2 linked regions of the Coturnix japonica genome follow. Each later gene encodes a partner of the first gene's protein in a complex. Links are inferred from orthologs where the notes say so. Each region holds a gene or a part of one and is shown on either strand. Other genes may lie near its edges.

Region 1 (6,239 bases):
TGGGCTGAGGGGGGGGGGGTGTCTCTGCTACCCCTGGCTGCTTTAGGGTGGGAAGCCCTATAAAGAAGAGCAGGGATATTGGGTTGTATTGGGATATTGGGTTGTATTGGGGATATTGGGTTGTATTGGGGATATTGGGTTGTATGGGGGATGTTGGGTTGTATGGGGGATATTGGGTTGTATTGGGATATTGGGTTGTATGGGGGATATTGGGTTGTATTGGGGATATTGGGTTGTACTGAGCTCAGCTGTAACCCAAGCACAGTGCTATGAGCCCTGGCTGTGCTGGGGTCTATATGGGGGGGTGTCAGCAGTGGGGATGCCAAGCCCCCCCTCCCCATGTGCTGTTGGGCTCAATGGGGTCCCCAGCTGCCCCTGCAGCAGGGAAGGAATCCCACATCCCATAATAGCCGTGTGATTTCCTATGGGCCATGGGGATACATAGGAATCAATGGGGGGGGGCACTTAGAGACTGGGGTGGCCCCATTGAGGGGACACTGGAGTGGGGGGGGGGGGGGGGGGGGGGGGGGGGTTGGATCTTGGCTCCCAGAGGGGCAGTAGGGGCTCCTGCTGCTGGGTAGCAGGTACTGGGAGCACTGTGGATACTGGGAGCAATGGCACAGTGTGTGTAATGGGGTTATTGGGGTTACTGGGGGCACTGGGAGCCCCAAATAGGGGCACAGACGCCAAGCACAGCCCACCCCGCGCATGCGCACTGCCCACATGGCACCACGTTGGCCCCGCCCCCTTCACACACTCTTTTTTATCAATGGGTGGGATGGGGCGGGGCCATCCCGTGGTACGATGCCTCCTATTGGTCATCCGGCTCCGGCCGCTGTGTCGCTAGCCAATAGGATGGCTGGGCTCACACGCGCGAGCGGGTGGGCGGGGCGTAGTGGCGGCTGGGTGCGTAAACATGGCGGCGGAGCGAGGCACGGAGCGGGACATGGAGCGGGTGACATGTACAGCACCCGTTAACATCGCCGTCATCAAGTACTGTGAGTAACGGGACGGGACGGGGCGGGTTGGGTCGGGTTGGATCGGGTTGAGTTGGGTTGAGTTGAGTTGAGTTGGGCTGGGTTGGGTTGGGTTTTGCTATGCCATGCCATGTAGAGCCATGCCAGGCAGTGCCATGCTGTGCTATGCTGTGCTATGCCCATCCCAAGCAGTGCTGTGCTGTGCCAGGCAGTGCTGATGGGCAGCAAGCAGTGCCATGCCATGCTATGCCATGCCATGCCATGCCATACTAAGTGGGTCCATGCCATGCCATACCATGTTGTGCCATGCCATGCCATGCTATGCTGTGCCATGCCATGCCATACTAAGTGGTACCATGCCATGCCATGCCAAGTGGCACTGAGCACAGTGGCACCGTGCCATGCCAAGCATTGCTTCACCTCTCCCATCTGTTGCAGGGGGGAAGCGTGACACCGAGCTCATCCTGCCCATCAACTCCTCTCTCAGCGTCACGCTGCACCAGGACCAGGTTGGTGCCCACCTCAAACCCTGGGGATCCCATATCCCCACCCTCAGGGCTGTGTGCCCCCCCCCATGAGCTCAGTGCCATCCCATACAGCTGAGGACCACAACCACGGCTGCTGCCTGCCGTGACTTCACCGAGGACCGGCTGTGGCTGAATGGAGAGGAGGTGGATGCGGCACAGCCCCGGCTGCAGGCCTGTCTGAGGGAGGGTGAGCTGGGCTGGGGGCTGGGGGGGCACAGAGCCGTGTCCTTTGCTTCCCTATAACCCCATCCCTGCACAGTGCGGCGCTTGGCCCGTAAGAGACGCGGTGACGACGCTGCAGCCCCGCTCAGCCTGTCCTACAAAGTGCACGTCGCCTCCGAGAACAACTTCCCCACCGCTGCTGGGTTGGCATCCTCAGCTGCTGGCTACGCCTGCCTGGGTGGGTATGGGGGGCAGCAATGGGGTGGGGGGTGATGGGGACGCTGTGACCATAACGCTGTTATCCCTGCAGTGTCGGTGCTGGCACGGCTCTATGGTGTGGAGGGGGAGCTGTCGGAGGTGGCACGGCGTGGGTCGGGCAGCGCGTGTCGCAGTATGTTGGGGGGCTTCGTACAATGGAACCGTGGGGAGAGGCCGGATGGTAGAGACAGCGTGGCACAGCAGCTGGCACCTGAGACACACTGGCCGGAGCTGAGTGTCCTCGTGCTGGTGGTGAGGGATGGGGTTGATGCTGGGGGTGGGAGGTGGACGCCTTGTAGGGTGCCCCATGTCTTGTGTTCTGGTGTAGGTCAGCGGGGAGAAGAAGGCGGTGGGCAGCACGGCGGGGATGCAGACCAGTGTGGACACCAGCCCCCTGCTGAAGGTGGGTTGGATGGTTGGTGATGAGCAGCACAGGCTGCATGGGGAGGTGGGGAGGTGTCGGGGTGTGAGCATGGTGGGATGGGTTGGGTTTGGGGATCATGGCCACCTCCTCCAATGGCTGAGTACTGAGGGGCCATGGGAAGTGAATCCTATGGGATCCATGAGATGACCCCCCCCTGGTGCTGCCCCTATAGTACCGTGCTGAGGTGGTGGTGCCGGAGCGCATGACCCGCATGGCTCGCTGCATCCAGGATCGAGACTTTGAGACCTTTGGCCAGCTGACCATGCAGGACAGCAACCAGTTCCACGCCACCTGCCTCGACACCTTCCCCCCCATCTTCTACCTCAATGACATCTCGCGGCGCATCATCGCCCTGGTGCATCGCTTCAATGCCCACCATGGGTGCACCAAGGTAGGGCAGCCCCCCCCCTATGGCCCCGTCCTGCTGGCACTGCACCCCTCTCACTGTGTCCCTGTCCCCAGGTGGCCTATACCTTCGATGCTGGCCCCAATGCGGTCGTCTTCATGCTGGAGGATACAGTGGATGAGTTTGTGGAGGTGGTGAGGCGCAGCTTCCCACCCAGCTCCAATGGGGACCAGTAAGGGTGTTGTCATTTGGGACTGGGGGGGTGGGAATGGGGATGGGGACATTTGGGTGGGAATGGGGATGGAGATGATGGCTATAGGCACTGGTGGGATGGCGATAGGGATGGAGATGTGGACGGGGACTGGTGGGATGGGGATGGGGATGGAACCATGGGACATGGGGTGGGGTTGGGGACATCTGGGTGCCATCCCTGCTGCAGGTTCCTTCGAGGCCGACCCGTTGGCACAGCGGTGCTGCCAGAGGAGCTGCTGTCAGCCGTGGTGATGGATCCGGTACCAGGGGCCATTCGTTACATCCTACACACCAAGGTATGGGAGGTGGGGGTGGTCCTGAGCCTCCTGCTCCGTGCTGTCCCCTAACACATCTCCTGTCCCCACAGCCTGGCCCTGGCCCACAGCTCCTGGATGCCCCCAGCCAGCATCTACTGGGCCCCGATGGGCTGCCATGCCACTCTGCCTGAGAACAGGGGACACCGTGATGGGGACACCGTGATGGGGACACCATTGGGGACAGCAGGGATGCCCAATGGGGGCTGCCCCTGGGGGGCACACAGGCAGGGACCCACCGTCCCATTGCCTGCATTGGGGCTGTGAGATGCTGTGCTCATCTGTCCCCATCCCGACCCAGATGTGGCTCCTCCCATTGCCTGGTTTTTACTCTTTTCTAATCAAATAATAGAGGTTTTCCAGCCGCAGTGCTGCTCTGAGTCCCGAGTCGCTCCGTGGTCCCCATTAGGGCTGCTCCTGCCCCATGTCACCCTATATATTCCCATGTCACCCTATATATTCCCATGTCACCCTATATATTCCCGTATCACCCCGTGTCCCCCTACGGCCCGGCTCTTCGTGGGGGCGTGTCTTTGTAATGAATGGGCGTGGGTTACTCGAAGGGGCGTCGCTTAAGGAGGGGAAGGGGTTCGGCTGTTCGGCTCCATCGCTGCCTTCCGGGTCGGGTTGGGCCGAGCCCGAACTAAGGCTGAGCTCGAACCATGGGGCAGATCGAATGGGCCATGTGGGCCAACGAACAGGCGCTGGCGGCGGGGCTGAGTGAGTGCGGGGGGGAGATGGGGAGTTAAAGGGGCTGGGTGATGGGGGGAGGGTCAAAGGGTCCCATGTGGGATGGGGATGCAGGGATGGGGGTGAGGATATGGGGAAGGGAGTTCAGGGCTGGGGGTGTAGGGTTGAGAATGTGAGGCTATAGATACGGGATATGGGGAGAGACCCCTGGCTGTGTTCCCCCCCGACCCCCCCATCCCGTTTTGGCCCAACCCCGCCCGGAGATGGAGGAAGTGAGCGGCGATGAGGACGCGGAAGCGCTGCCGGAGCGTATCACCAACATCGTGTGTCACCGTGGGTCTCCCCCCCGCTGCCCCCCAGCCCGGCCGCTATAGGGTTTAACCCCCAACCCCCCGCCCCGTTCCCTGTTTGGGCTCGTGGGGGTCCCACGCGAAGCATCCCCCGCTGTTAATAGCCGGGATGCCAGCAGTGTCCCCGCTGTCCCGCAGTCATGCTGACCGGAGGGATCGTGGCGGTGGCGGGGCAGTTCAAGGGCTGGTACTTCGCAGCTTACGCCATGTATCCTTATGGGGCTCGGGGTGGGAGGGGGCACCTTATTCTGTGCAGGCGGGGAGGGGGGGGGGGGGGTCCCTCATCTCCCTCTCTGTGGCCCCACATCGCTCTATTCCTGCCCCTTTCCCTATGGAGCTGCCCCCCAACCCTGGCCCCATTTCTGCCCCATTCCCTGTGGGGTCTCACCCCCACCCTTGGCTCCAAACCCCCCTTTTCCTTGACCCCCATCCCCCTGCAGTGCTGCAGGCGCCTTCGTCTGCCTGTTGGAATACCCACGCAGCAAGAGGCAGAAGGGCTCCACCATGGAGCGCTGGTGAGTGATGGGGTGCTATTGGGGTGCCTATATATATTTAGGGGGGGGGTCTTTTGGGGCCGGGTGCCCCCCTGACTCTGCATATTGCCCCATAGTGGCCAGAAGTACATGACAGCAGTGCTGAAGGTGTTTGGACCGCTCACCCGGAACTATTACATCCGTGCCATCCTGCACGCAGCGTGAGTGGGGTTGGGGCTGGGGGGTGAACCTGAACCCCCCCCCCTTTTAACCTTCCCCTGTACCCTCAGGCTGGCCGTCCCTGCTGGCTTCCTGCTCTCCACCATCCTGGGCACCGTCTGTTTGGGCATTGCCAGTGGCATCTACCTGCTGGTGAGCTCCTCTGGGGGGGTAATGGGGGCTGATTATGGGGCTGAAGGAGGGGGCTCCCTGCTGACTGCTCCCCCCTGGCCCTGCAGGCAGCGGTGCGTGGGGAGGAATGGCGACCCATTGAGCAGAAGCCCCGCGAGCGGCCGCACATGGGGGACACCATCAAACAGCCCCCCAGCAACCCCCCACCCCGACCCCCTGCTGATGCACGCAGGAAACAGGCAGCAGAAGTGGGGGGGCAGGTGAACCCCATCCCTGTAGAGGCTGAGTAACACGGAGCTGGGGGTCCCAGTGCTGCACTCACTTCCCTACTGTACCCCTCACCCCCCCATTGGTCCCCAGACCCCTAGGGGTGCTCATCTCCCCTCCTTCCCCCCCCTTGGTTCCTCAGAATCCCTGGGGGCTGCTCAGGTGCCCCCATATCCCAAGGAGCTCCCCCAGCCTCACAGCCCCATTGTGGGCTCACGCAGCTCTGCTTGCTGCGCCACCTCTTCACGTTTTATACATTGTCTTTTTTCTTTTCTGGTTGCTTTTTGCAATAAAAGGACCGAAAGGCCCCAGATCCTTCCTGATCACACCCCATTCATGTGCCCTGGGTGTGAGTTGGGAGCTCAGTGCCCAAATCTTTAGTGACCCCAGCGATGGGACAGACCTGCAGTGGTTAGGGTTAGGGTACCCAGAGGTGACACCCCCAGCCCCATATCCCCTCTCCCCCCACCTCCAGCACCCATGGGTGCTCTAAAAGCATATGGAACAACCCCGGTAGGTGGCGCTGAGTCCATGGGATGTGAGTGCTTGGGGCAGAGCTGTGAGAAAGGAGTGGGTGGTGACAGGGTGCTGGCATGGGGCCGCCCCCATTCCCCCCCCTTCCCTCCCCATTGCCTCCCCCTTCCCCTGGGTGTGCTTTGGGGATGGGAGATGCCCCCCAGCATCCACTGGGGTGGCTGGGATGGGGGTTCCCAATGCACCTCTATCCCCGCATCCTTGGCACCTCCCCTCCAGCATCCACAGGGGGACCCTGTGCACCTCAACCCTTTGCCCTCCCATTTATCCCAGTGTGGCACATTGTGGGGTCAGGCTTTTATTTTCAGGCTGGC
Region 2 (5,939 bases), on another chromosome or scaffold:
TTTCCTGTGTGTGGCTTTGTATTTTTCAACAAGGCTTGGAGTCCCTGAGCTGGCAGCTGTTAGAAAGATAAACTGAGCTCACGTGGCACATGTGTTCGGCCTGCTCTTACTGTGCAGGGTTTTGAGCCGAACACGAGTGTACTGAGCACTTGATCATCTGACAGAGACTTGTCATAGCACTGTAACTGATGGATCCATCACTGTAATTGATGGATGGTGGGCAGTGTGACTGCAGGCAAACCTTTCAGTTGCGTTGACTTTAAAGGTGACTAAAATCCCTTTTTTTAATTGTCATTTTTAAAGTGAATTGATGTCTGTGGCAGTGCTGGAAATCAACGTGGTGCATCGAGTTTGGGTGGGGAGAAAGTTCTGCCTGTTTCCTCTGCTGGGTTGAGGAGCTCAGTACGGACGCTGTGTTACTCAATGACTCGCTCAGCAAAGCAGTTCTTCTTTGTCTCTTGCTTTGTAAACTACTCCTTTTCTCAATGCATTTCCTGCTGGAAATGAAAGTGTGTCATCCCACCCAAGTCTTACACGTACGTGTGAACAAAACACGGCATTCAGTGGGCTTTCCTTCCTCTGCAGTTAGAAGCACATACCTCCTAGGATCCCATCTAGAAGCCGCTGCTCAGTTTTGCTATCTGTTCATTGACTTCTGCTGGGATTTTTAAATATTTTATGGTGCTTCTCTGCTGTTGCTTCACGAGTGAAGACATTACAGGCGTTCTGGTAAATGCGGAATGTTTGGCTTAGATAAGGCTAAAGCTCTGGTACTTCAGGAAAACAATGCAGGTTAAAGATTTGCTCATATGACATAAAACTTAGGCGCTGATTTATGTGCCCTGTGGAGATCCACTGGGAACAAACCAGCTGTGGATGTACCTGTGCAGCCTTAACAGCTGGAAGCAAGCAGGCGGTTTCTGAGCTGTTTTTGTTCTTAGGGCTCTGACTGGTATCTTTTTAGAGCTCTAATTTGGCTACAAAACACAGCATGTTTGCTGGTTGTGCAATCTTGTTTTGCCCTTGTTTTCCTCTTCATTGTGAGGATTGTTAGAGGGAAAATAAACAGCAACTGTTGCTTGTGCTTGTGGAAGATGCAGAGCAGTAGGAACGTGTGCTGGGATAACAAGGGCAGGAGCTGCTGCTGACTGACACTTGTGGAGAGCACTGCTAGGAGTTATTTTTAGCAGCTTTTGTTTTCACTCTGAAAAAGCAGCTGTTCAGTGGTATGAAATCTCAAGTGATCTCGTGTAACGCTGGGGGAAGTTCTGTGCTTTGGAATGATGATTATTGGGTGACAGAGAAACGGTCAGCTTCCTGCTCTTCTGGAGCTGGTTTTCATTGTAAAACTATTGTAAGAAAAGAGTCTGTCTGGAATTGTGCTCGCCTTGAGGCCTTGCTGGCTAAAGCTGTGCTGCCTGATCTGATAACTTGTCAAGAGGAAGGAAGGGGGGTGATGGGCTCCTTACTGAGTGCAGGGTGAGGTTCCGAGCACCTCTGCTCTCCAGTGCCACCTATGGAGAGTGCAGCGACTCCAAGTGTAGGAACTTCTGCTATTGCACTTCTACACATTGGGTAGTACTGGAAATGCTGAGCGGTATATTGGGGAGATGGGTGTCACAGCGAGAAAAGCAGCTCACCTGGAAAAGTGGCATATATCTAAACCTCTGCTGTAGCAAAAACATGGCAATTCTGTCCAAGGACAGTGCTGGTGATGTCCCATCTGCTGCTTGATGTGAATGGAGACCTGAGCCATGCAGCACGCCTGGGGTGGAGCTGGTTCATGCAGCTGAGAGAGGAAGGATGTTGTCAGAGGCTTTCAGAAGGCTGCCACCTGTTTGCAGATATCAACATTTCTGGAATTAAACAGCAATTACTTCAGCTGGCCTCCGCCTCCATTCCTGTGGCTGCAAACAGCAACTAAATTCGTGCAGTTGGGTTTTAGTCGTGGGAGAGGAGGAGAGTGCAGCATCTGTGCAGCTCTGGTGCCTGCAGGATGGAGGAAATGCTGGCACACATTGTCTGATGGCGTTCAGAGCGAGTCACATACGTGTCTGCCAGCAGCAGGAACATGGGGAGCTCTGCAGAACCGCTTAGTGTAAGAAAGGGATGGCGTGCCTTGTTTCCAGGAACAACATATGTGGCTTTACAAAGACTGGTTCCTAGAAGGTGTCAGAAAGCAATTCACTGCAACTCATTAAAATGCTGAATTTCTGTTGGCCATGTTTTTAATTGCAGTCAAATGTTACCAGTTTCATTTGATGCAATGGTGGGTGGACAGAGCTGTGATTAAGCAGTTGCTCGAAATTTTGTTATGACTAAGTTTGGTTTGGAAGTATCTCAGAGTCTACGTCTTTATGTGCAAGGATTTATACTTCGCAAAACAAGTGCAGTTCTAAGTTCCTTATCACAGAAGTTGGTCAGCTTAGAGAAAAGCTGTAAGTACTCAGAGGTTGTGCTTCATTGCAAAGATAGGTATTGAAGTTCATTTTGAGGATTGGTAACTGTAATACCCGATTTGTGGGGCAGTGAGCCAGAAGGCAAGGGAAGCAGGAAGCCTGGAACGGAGCAGGCCTGAAACAGGGTTGTTGAACGTGTTTTTTCTTGTTCAAGTGGCTGCCTGATTGTGCTGCAGATACATGCTGCAGGCAGGCGCTTCTCAGCATGGAATGAAACCTGTCACCACCTCCCTGTGCTGTTCTATTAGCCAGAGCAGACTCACCGGTTTCAGAGCAGGGTGAGCAAAGAAACTTGAGCGCTGAGACAGGTTCCTGGGCCTCTGCTGAAAATGTGGAGTTCCATATGAATTTGTTATAAGCTTTTGTTGTCTGTAATGAACCCACTGGAAAGCGAAGCATCAGACCAGCCAGGTTCTGGAAGCACATGAGCACGTAGCTCTGAGCCTCAGGAAGTTTCCTAGGGAATGTGCTCCTTGCTGCTTCCAGTGTTTGAGGGTTTTCACGTTTGTCCTTGGTCGGTAGGACTGGCAGAGCCTGCTTTATAGCTCGCTGACAGCAGTCAGCAGCACACGGTGGCTGATGAAGCATCCCAAGGATGTGAGCAGCAGGTTGTCCTTGGGGGAATGTGGAGCTTTCCCTCCGCATAGTGGCTTGTTAGCAGTCAGCCCAGTGCCCCTGCAATGGGGACAGCACGGGATCTCCTCTGCTGGCAGCTGTTAAGCCAGCTTAGCTGCATGGCACGCAGCTCCCAGATTTCTCCCACAGAAGTTTTTGCGTGATAAATCTCTGTGCTGCTCTGTACATGAGTGTGTCAAGCGTGTTGCGACAGGAAAACATCTGCAGGTCGTAGTTTGCTCGAGCAGAGGAAAATTCTGGTGTTCAGTTCTGCCAGCTCGGTTCAGGAGGGTGTATGCTGGAAGAAAAAGAAGAAAATCAGATTGTTTCCTTAGAGCATGTGTGCAAAGCAGGGCAGGAAACTGCCACCGTGTGCTGTGATTAGTGGGACATTCTGCTCAGGAACAAAAGTGCAATTAATAGGCACGGAGGCTAAAAATCTGTGGCAATGCTGTGCACAGTGAAGCAACTCCTCTTTCATGGCTTGAATGTGTGTGGTGCTGTTGTCAGGGGTTGCCATGGCCCTCCTGGGTTAAGTGGCACTGAGCTGTTCCTGGGTTCAGCTATGGTAGAGGTACTTAACATCCCTCGAACTGTGAGTCACTAGGTAGGGCTGATGGGCTAACATTGAGTGTTAAGTGATTTTAAATAGCATTTTGAAGCTGATCTTAGGTGTATGAAGTAGCAGTCCAAGGTTCTCCAGAAAGAAAAGAAATGCTATGATTCAAATGTAAAACAGTTGCTAAAATTCAGATAGGAACGCCTCAGTTGTTTGCAGCAGGAGAGCTATGAGCCCATGACTAATGCTCATTTCTGAGAGTTGTCTTTGTCTTCTGCAAAAGCGAAAGGATTACAGTGTATTTTTAGCAGTAGCATTTGGTTTCTGGTAATATTTCCTTTGCTGTTAATACTAGCTGTGGTTTTAGACTAAAGCTTTCATGAGTTCCTTCAGTTTGTGATAGACTTGAATCAGGAGGCTTGAGAGTCCAAGCTGCTGCTAACAGCAAGGTTTGTCTGTATGTACAGCAAGATTAGGAAGTTCCTACTGGCTTGACTTAAGTGTGAGAAAGTGATTTGTGAGGCGGTGCCAGTCAACTTGTGCAGGAGTGTGTCTGAGAAGGGCAGTGGGGTGGGCTGTGGGGCGGTTTGGGTGCTGTCTTCATTGTTGGAATGCAGTTTATCTGTAAGGCAGCCAGTGAAGTGCTTGGTGAATGCATGCCGGGAGTCACTTTGCAGTAGCAATAATCATGGTGAGCACTGCCATTTGTATTGTTCTCACTTCAGCAAAAATAATGATATGCTGAGAAATGATGTGGTTTCAAGCTTTCTTCAAACTTATGTAAAATAAAACTAAGGGTAACAGAATGGATGTTTATATTAGCTGTGTTTCCACACTAGCAGTAACCTTAAGGCTACAGCCTCTTACTTGTTTTTGTGTGTAATATTTTCTACTGGCACTCTCAATTGTTCCTTAGGTGACTGGGTGTAATTAGTTTTCTTCCCTAAGAGGAATATTATTGCTTGCTATTTGAGATGAATGTTCTTTACATGTAAACTTTCTCTTTTTTGCAGTGCTGTAGGTAAAACATGCCTACTCATCAGTTACACAACCAATGCGTTTCCTGGGGAATATATACCCACAGTGTAAGTACTTACAACATTCTAAAAACATTCCTGTCAACCCACTGGTGCTTCCTGCTGGTCCAGCTTCCTCACTGAGCCTCCTGAATTGTGGGCACACACCACTCAGTGCCATCATAACATCTGGCCAAGCATCTGTGTGTGCTGCACAGAAGTGCAGTGTTATAGCTTTCCTAGTTATGACTCTGCAGGAAGAAATACTTAGGTGCCCAATTTGACTACAATCAAATGCAGCTAACTTTTATTTTTTAGCTTTGACAACTACTCTGCTAATGTAATGGTTGATGGCAAACCAGTCAATCTGGGCCTGTGGGATACAGCTGGTCAAGAGGACTATGACAGACTACGCCCACTCTCCTACCCCCAAACAGTAAGTACTGGTGTGGAACTGAAGAAGGTAGACAGCTCTAAGCTGTTCTGGAGATATTACATCTGGAGCTGTATTTCTTACTGTAATAAGGTACTTGTTGCATGTAGGCTGAAGGATGGTAGCTTGCTGTAGCAAGAATCTTTGATGTGCATACAGCTATATAGATGTTCAAATTTACACCCTTGGGTGTTTGCGAGCATTGATGCATGTTGGTTTTATGTAGTTGCAGTCTCAGAATTAACAAGAATTAATGATTAAAAGAGGAAATTAAAAGAGGGGGGGAGGAGGGAACAACAAAACCTGAGTAGAGTAGTCCCATCAGTGAGTCCATTGATACTAAAGTTAGCATGGCTGCCAAAAGTGGGGTTTGTTTTGTTTTCAGGCACGATGCTTGGCCGCAGCCTGACACTGTCACTGCTAAGCACTTGATGTTGTTTAGCCTCTGTGCAGATGTACTAAATATGAAAGAGGCAATCCTGAATGAAGATCTTAGTGGTATTGACAGAGGCTGGGTTGTGGTTTTCAAATCTACTTAACCCCATGGCTGCTTTCTTACTTACTGCAGTTCCTGCTATAACATCCATACAAACGTGTTTCTGTTTGCAGTGCTTGCAACTGGTTAAGTCCTGGCTGCACACTGCTCTTCCTTTTACAAAGAAAATGCTGAAGTAATCTACTCTTTCTTTCCAGTGGGACTTCAGCTGCATTTGGTCTTTGCAGAGGTTGGCTTAGAGCAGTCATGTTCAGCTGGTGCTGGCATCCTTTCATTAAAGAAAAGCAGTGACTTGCAGGTGCTGTCAGCATTGATTACTGCTGTTGTCAGCTGTTGTTGACAGTTAGTAATTCAGGGTTAA

What was found.
Region 2: cytochrome b-245 light chain (region 1) and RAC1 share a complex: the UniProt entries of both Homo sapiens proteins name them as parts of the phagocyte NADPH oxidase complex. The link is inferred for Coturnix japonica from reciprocal best matches to the Homo sapiens genes CYBA and RAC1.

Annotation. Positions count from the first base shown.
Region 1 is NC_029526.1:16,406,236-16,412,474, reverse strand, and holds cytochrome b-245 light chain, read left to right. Parts: upstream 1-3,667; 5' UTR 3,668-3,684; coding exon 3,685-3,980; intron 3,981-4,438; coding exon of another isoform or gene 4,439-4,508; intron 4,509-4,740; coding exon 4,741-4,815; intron 4,816-4,910; coding exon 4,911-4,994; intron 4,995-5,063; coding exon 5,064-5,145; intron 5,146-5,231; coding exon 5,232-5,414; 3' UTR 5,415-5,709; downstream 5,710-6,239. Other genes in the region: MVD (diphosphomevalonate decarboxylase), read left to right, coding at 917-998, 1,416-1,486, 1,577-1,691, 1,764-1,904, 1,977-2,176, 2,253-2,327, 2,521-2,739, 2,811-2,926 and 2 more. UniProt on the Homo sapiens protein: Subunit of NADPH oxidase complexes that is required for the NADPH oxidase activity that generates, in various cell types, superoxide from molecular oxygen utilizing NADPH as an electron donor.
Region 2 is NC_029529.1:8,458,958-8,464,896, reverse strand, and holds part of RAC1 (ras-related C3 botulinum toxin substrate 1), read left to right. Parts: intron 1-4,646; coding exon 4,647-4,718; intron 4,719-4,967; coding exon 4,968-5,085; intron 5,086-5,939. UniProt on the Homo sapiens protein: Plasma membrane-associated small GTPase which cycles between active GTP-bound and inactive GDP-bound states.